Linked DNA regions of Kluyveromyces lactis. The protein of the gene in region 2 binds, or shares a complex with, the protein of the main gene of each other region. Links are inferred from orthologs where the notes say so. Each region holds a gene or a part of one and is shown on either strand. Other genes may lie near its edges.

Evidence for each region. The genes of interacting proteins can lie anywhere in the genome.
Region 1: the proteins of GRC3 (region 2) and LAS1 are in contact, whole or in part, in a crystal structure (PDB 7Y18), measured with the Saccharomyces cerevisiae proteins. The link is inferred for Kluyveromyces lactis from reciprocal best matches to the Saccharomyces cerevisiae genes GRC3 and LAS1. Residues at the interface, in NP_013065.1 of Saccharomyces cerevisiae: Glu72, Gly73, Asp74, Glu75, Asp76, Glu77, Thr173, Glu177, His180, Leu181, Arg183, Asn186, Glu200, Arg201, Tyr456, Asp457, Phe458, Ala459, Pro460, Leu461, Leu462, Lys463, Ser464, Ala465, Pro466, Leu467, Gln468, Ile469, Ser470, Gly477; in NP_012989.3 of Saccharomyces cerevisiae: Ile2, Pro3, Pro4, Arg5, Ile6, Val7, Pro8, Trp9, Arg10, Asp11, Arg36, Gln39, Arg40, Gln42, Ser43, Tyr44, Arg45, Leu46, Lys47, Gln50, Tyr51, Leu52, Pro53, His54, Val55, Arg94, Asn97, Gly98, Leu99, Asp101.

What each region holds. Positions count from the first base shown.
Region 1 is NC_006037.1:554,780-558,104, forward strand, and holds LAS1 (rRNA-processing protein LAS1), read right to left. Parts: upstream 1,872-3,325; coding exon 501-1,871; downstream 1-500. Other genes in the region: OAF3 (Oaf3p), read left to right, coding at 2,589-3,325. UniProt on the Saccharomyces cerevisiae protein: Regulates cell surface growth, bud formation and morphogenesis. May act indirectly by regulating factor(s) involved in these processes.
Region 2 is NC_006041.1:81,005-84,890, reverse strand, and holds GRC3 (polynucleotide 5'-hydroxyl-kinase), read right to left. Parts: upstream 2,397-3,886; coding exon 501-2,396; downstream 1-500. Other genes in the region: putative AAA family ATPase RIX7, read left to right, coding at 1-465; alkaline-responsive transcriptional regulator RIM101, read right to left, coding at 2,822-3,886. UniProt on the Saccharomyces cerevisiae protein: Polynucleotide 5'-kinase involved in rRNA processing. Required for the efficient termination by RNA polymerase I and the processing of the IST2 pre-rRNA internal transcribed spacer localized between the 5.8S and 25S rRNAs.

The sequences.
Region 1 (3,325 bases), on a different chromosome or scaffold from region 2:
TCTTTCCCAGTCCGATATCGACCATGACGATATGGGAGTCTACCATGTTGTTGTCTTACGGGGCAACGACTTTTTAAGCCAGTACATGCTTTGACATGTACAATTTAGATCATCTGAGTTTTCTCTTTTTAGTTTTCTTAAGGTCAAAGTAACAGTGAAACAAGATCCATCGTCGTATCTTCTGTTGCATTTATTTCTTCAAAACGTTTCACTTCTTCTTTTTAGCTAAGAACATGATTGTGCGTTATGGATTTTAACATTTTTTTATATGATGAAAATTGGTTCCTTTACATTCGCAGTTTCCACGGTAGGAGTACGCCTACGAACCCATCGTTAGTACTCTTCAGTGACCGCTCTTTATTGAGACCTTCCTAGGATGTCTGATCTTTTTATATGTTATTATCCATTTCCATTTTCAATCCTGTTATCATCGCAGAACCTGTAGAACTGTCAATCTTTCTTGCTTTGTCTTATGTATCTAAAAGGCTTAATTATACTAATTACAAAACGCCAAATGGTCTAGGCGTCCACTCGGTGACTTCTTGCCAGTTGGAGATGGGGGCATTGCTTTGTTTGATCTTTTTGAACTGATTTTTCAATTCATTCAAGTCTTTCAATATATCCAAGGCCGGGGAATCTTCCGAAACAGGCTCTATTTCTTCAGAAGACGTCCTTTTCCTTGAATTGTAGAGCTCTAATTCAACGTTCCTGATCCCCTTTGCCTCAAATTCTTCAATAACTTTTTTCGCGTCTATCTCATTCGCTTTCTTCTTCTTTCTTGACTTACTACCGCTGTAATTACCACTAGATCCACTTTCATTACTCAAATTCTTTAAGATGTGTAACACGAGATAGTTGTGGTACTTATCTACCACATTACTAAACAATCCATTACTCAAAAACTTTCTGCCGTTAACCATGGAACAACACTTATTTACGAATTTCAAGAGCTTCTTATGATTTGAGAACCGATCCGTAATCTTCGTCTCTTCATTCATGATCCTCTTCTCGTAGTTTTCTATTAGCCACTCTATACACCTGACTTGGAATGTGTCTAAGGAATGAAAACATATCTCTAACAAGGTTTCGTCGCAGTGCAAGATCATATACTCTACGAAATCTGATTTGTGTATTTGTTTCCAGGCAGTTTTCAAAACTGTCAACCAATCACTAACTTCTTCGTCCTCGGTTGAGTCCTGCTCACCAAAAGTTGATCTAGCAATTCTTTGACGTTTCCATAGGTACTCATTCTCTTTCAATAATCTCTTGAGACCAGTATACTGAGTGAATAAGGATTTCAGTTGAACAGATGACTGTGATTTCCTTTTCTTGGCTTCTGAGTCGTCATTATCATCAGTCGCATCCTCATCTTCAGCCTCATCAAAGTCCTGATCTTCCTCTTCCCATTCATCATTATTCCAATAATTATCCCACGTCCATTGTATCGCTTCCTTGCAACACAATCGTAGCATCTCAAGACTAGGCAGTTCTCTTTCATGTGTACTCAAATGACGTAACTCAACGAACCAACTGGGCAACCCTATATTTTCAGCAAGTGTGTGTAATGGGATAGCAAACTGTGCCTGTTGCACTGGGTCTAACATACCGTTCACAAACCTAATCAAGACCATGCAGTACTGCCATTTCAAATATTCCATATCATCGCCGTCTTGCGCCTCGCCAGGGTCGTTCAACTGGCATTGCATCAAACGGACCGTATATTCTATTATATGTGGGAGATATGGACCCCTGGTAAGGTATGCGTCAATTCGTTGTATGGCCCTTCTCTTCGATGCTGGAGTATCATCTACAAACAACCATTGCTTCAACTGTTCAAGCTCAGATCTCGATCTCCAAGGCGTTATTCTCATCGGGAGTTCCTCGTAGGGTTGTGTACCAAATGAAAGAAACAGAAATCACGAAAAACTGCTAGAAACAACAATTGTAGATATATATACCAGATTAGATGTGATATTAAGTCATATCATCTCACCTCATCTCATCGCTCTGTTTCCGAGTATGCATGGATCTTGTTTTTTCATCGAAATTGAAAAATTTCGAATATGACGAAATGATATCCAAAGCCCACTTTCAATACAGAGGAAGCAAATGAAATATTATCAATGTCATCGTATATTAGATGGATATTGGTAGTATGTAAGCGTCGGGAGATTCGAATAACGTAGTACACTTAACGTACTTTAACATGCAAGAATAATTTTCAGTAAATATCATTATGTAGTACTTCTTAAATGACAATCCGTTTTAGGTGTCAAATTCTTAATTAAGTATAATCTCGAAATAAAACTGCCGGAATCACAAATGGTCTTCTTTCATGAAGAAACAATTTCGTGTATGGCCTCCGAAAGGACAAGTAAACTTCGAATTGGATATCAATTGTAGCGAAGACTGCTAAACTGCTTTTCACACGCCGATTAAATCGAATACACGCCGGTCTGGTAATACTTTTTGTTTCAGGAACGGTCTGAACGTTTGTAATACAGAATCAACCGACACGCCTTCAGACGCTAAACACTACAAGTGCAGTAAAACGAAAGTCAGGGAGTGAATTGCACACAAATCGTCTTATGGTTTACGAAATGCTATCTCCGGTACCAGTTAAGAAGAGACATAGACCTACACTTGTATGTTTGAATTGCAGGCGTCGTAAGACGAAATGTGATAGAGGAAAGCCCTCGTGCAGTAACTGTTTAAAGCTGGGAGAAACGTGTGTTTACTCCGAGGATACGGATGAGAATGCTTCTAAAAAAGTAAGATACGAATATATGGATGATCTTGGATTACCGGAGTTCATCAATATGGCTCCTAAAGGGCTACATCTGTTAAGCAAAAGATCAGCTTCGTGGTTCAATGGGTTGTTCTCAGACATCGCTATATGTGACAGAGATCCATATTTAAGAATAACAAACGCTGTCATTGATATTTTACGGAAAAGTGCCAGTAAAGGTATCGATCGTAGTGAAAGAGACACCGTCTTGCAGCTTCCTAATTCGTTAAAGACCGTAACCATGTACAACCGGTCAGAAAAGTCTGAAGATCAACTATACCATCAGATAGCTAGGGAGTTCTCAGCATTGCGGTCTGCCCCAATACCGGAGACATATGTACCGTATGAATACGAATTTTGGTCCAAATATTATCCATACTTCGTTGACAAGATTCATCCGTTGGTGCCTGTATTCAATCTTATTGAGTTGAAGGATCTACTAGAAAAGTTTTTTCAACGCCAAAAAGACCATCCGGGCAAATTGAACGACAAGGTACACGAGTCTACTCTTTTAATGCTAACGTACCTCATCATCAA
Region 2 (3,886 bases):
GATATGATAGACCCAGCGATGCTAAGACCAGGGAGACTCGATAAAACCCTTTTCATAGAATTACCAAATTTCGAAGAAAAGGTCGATATTATGAGAACTTTGATTAGATCAAACGGAACTCCAATTGCAGACGACGTAGATATAAACAGGATTGTTAATGATGAACGTTGCAAGAACTTTTCGGGTGCAGATATCGCCGCACTGGTCCGAGAATCATCCGTCCTGGCTCTCAAACGAAACTTTTTCAAAACTGATGAAATCATGTCAGTAGGGGAGAACAACCTAGACAAAGAATTCGAAGATCTCACAACAAACTCTCCAACTGAAGATGTAATTGTCTATATGAAAGATTTCGAAAACGCTTTAAAGAAAGTAAAACCCTCCGTCAGTGATAAGGATAGAACTAGATATGACAGACTAAACAAAAGGATGGGATGGAACGATTCTTCAGATGGGTCTGAATGAGCTTTAAATTCTACAAATATGTAATAAATATGATGTCATTTCATGTGATGTCCTCTTCTCATCACATTTTTTCTTACTTTCCATACGTGTTCATGTCTCTTCTTTTGGTAAAGAGAAACGTATGGAATATCAACTTCACTTTTGAATATGCCATTATTTGGGTATAACTCGCAGATGGGTGTTTCCGTCTTTCCACGTACTAAGACCCATTTGTTTTCCGTTTCTCTTAAGGCCCGAAAGAGGTTCTCAGGAATATACATGTAGATGAGGGACTGTTCAAGATCAATAGAATGAATCAAAGCAAGTCCCACAAATTCAGTGTTAATTTTTGAGTAATTCTTCATCACTGGGAATATGCCCTTGAATAGCACGTCTGGGGTACTATCTGCCCTATGAAGAGCAACGACCGTCCCATCTAAAGATAGTTTGATATCATCGTGATACAAAGAGCTATTGGAATATTGGAGAAACTCAAAACCAACTATACCGCGGTTGCCAATAGAAGTTAGTTGAGGTTTCTGCATGACCAATGGATTGATTACAAAATTTCGGTCATATTTTTTATGTAAATATGCTGTAATCTTGAACTGCCTGATTTTAGCTGCGTTAAATCTTTGTAAAGCATGGGATATGTGTTTACCCACAGCAGGAGAATGCAATTGTAGTATTATAGGTTTGTAAGTTGACCGCTGAGTTGTACTGAAAGCGTCAGGGACTTTAATTTCGGACGAAAAGGGCAGCCCATTATAAGATAGAAATATGATGTGAGTTGGCTTGAAATGGTCAAGTGCATGGTTGATAATTTTAACACCAAATCCTTTAATCCACCCAGGAATATTTAAAAATGATGTCCCCATGAAATTCTCTGTCTGCCACTCTTTCAAAAGTGATTCTACAGCGTTAGAGTATGTTTCTGGCCAATCCTGAGGTGATGAGGATCCTATGAAATGCTGTTTTATGGTTGTGAATCTTCCTTGGCAAAGATGTTGGCCTAAGGACATAGATTTCGGGTCTACTTTATTCCATGATATGCTTTCAGGTGGCGAGTACTCTGGCTGACCAGGATCAATATCAAGGTAGTGTATGGCTTCATATGATAGATCGTTGTTACTATGCAAAAATTTTTGGACAAGAAGCCGCATCAAAGTGGATTTTCCTGAGTTCTTACCTCCTATTACCATGACCCTCATATCTTGTGACGAGTTAGCGTGGAATATACGCATTTCATCGATGACTGTTGACCATTCGGTTGATATATCCAATATTCTTACAGAATCGGAAATTTTACTGATAATGTTGAACGTTAGTTGCTTTCTGGCAATTCCCGGTAGCAATGAAATATTCAAAGGACCCCACATATCTCTAAGCTCAGGTAATAAACTAGATAATTCTGTTATATTGCAGCCATTGCTGATTTTTAGGACGCAGTCGTAGCTTTCGATCTGTGTTGTGAAATGTTGATATTCTCGGTTAAGAAACAATTTAGATTCCCAACCGGCATAAAAAGAAGACACTATTGGCGAAATTGCATTACAAGCGGGATGCCAGAATTCCCAGTTTTTATAACCACTGTTATAATGAACGTTGTTATATGTAATCCCGCCTTTTATAATTTGTAGATTGAACTGACCGCATATTAGAAGGTGTTGATTCTTTTCTAAGCATATTATAACTTCAGTACACTCATCGGATAGAGTGAAGAAGTTCATGTCAACAACGGGCGAATACAGCTGGTTTGATTCATCTTCTTCGTTAGGAAAGTCATTCCCATTCGTTTCCCTGATATCATCATTGTCATAGTCATCTCCATCGTAGAGTTGCACTACTGGCGTTTCGCTAGAAGTCTTGTATTTCTTTTCGATTTCTCTTTGTTCCACATCTGAATCGTCTGAATCGGTGTTCGCGGTGTATGTTAGAATATCTTCAGACATCTCAAATATGGTTCTGTTGGAAACCGAGCAAGTGGCATTCGAATGCTGAGTTTATTGCACCTTACCTCTTCTCATCTCATCTCATACTGAGACTTTTTTCTGTTTTGTTCTGAAATTTTTGTTGACATTTTACTGAGCTCATAATCAGTGCATCTAATAGCAAGGGAAACCAAAAGCTGTCGTCATCTTGAGAGAAAACTCAAAATCAAACCTACCGGGAACTATGCATGAATTATAGTTGTACATACTCCTTAGAAAATAATAAAAAACATTACATATAAACTGTCAGCTTTAACCTTATAATTGTATCCACAAAAAAAAATTATAAACAAAAAAAAGAGATTGCCGCCCCAAAACCATGTCATCAAGTATATGTGTCATAACATTGCAGAAAAAATTCGGAGTAATATTCTACTATAACGAGGCTATATCACAACCTGAGGATATTTTGATAGAGATATCTTGTTCGACGGAATTCTTCCTTCAATGACACATTCTTTGGAGTCACTAAATTCATCAAATGACGTAAAGCCTTGCTCTTCCTCTTCCTCTTTGAATTCATCTAACTCCTCCATAAGTTCGCATAACAAATAATCTTTAACTAACTTGACAGTTGAATAGGTTTCGTAGAATAATTCCAAGTCTTGCTCTTCTGAGGATAGATTTAACGAAGTGAATGACTCCTCCAAAGATACGTTGTCCTTTTCGGGGATATCTTCGTTAGCCTCAGCATCCAACAGCGCAGTTCTTTGGTGTAGGCTGTAATTATTCGAGTAGTGTTGAGGATAGAATGCTGATGATGATGAAGAAGGAGATGTTTGATGTGTATCAAACCTGTTGAATACGGACAATACCGGAGGTGGAGCTCCAACATTTGGCCTGGCTGAAATACTGGGCAACTTAGGGATTAGTGGGTATGATTGTGGTGCAGGTACCGGGTTAGGACCCAAGTTAGCGGTCGGTAGGTTATTGTTAGCATAGTTTCTAGACATATCCATGGATAAATTATTGAAGAATCCAACAGCGGATCTCAATTCAGCACCGTGACCCACGAGAGGACGTTGCTGGGTTTGGTAAGGAAGAACCATATGGTGCGATACCAAGTTCGGGGAAACTGCAGTGGACGAAGCAGAAGACGCAGAAGGAGGGGAAGTTGCGTTGTTGTTATTAACAGGTAACAGCAGGACGATGGCCATCTTTTCTGCCAATTGTTGAGAGTACACGGGTTGTTGAGTCTTCACCTCCTCGTGAATAAATTTATCCAAAGAAATAGATGGTAAAGTGAATCTCTGATGAGCACGGGATCTGTCATTTGAAATCTTTCCCAGCTTATTGGATGGCTTCGGACCACGTTTTTTTTTCAGTAGTGAAAGTTCTTCGTTATGTACCTTCAAATGTTTCTTTAAATCTTGAGGTCTTTTGAATTTTTTATTACAAGTGGAGCAAGCGAAAGGTTTTAATTGCACATGAACTCTCAAATGAGACGTGAT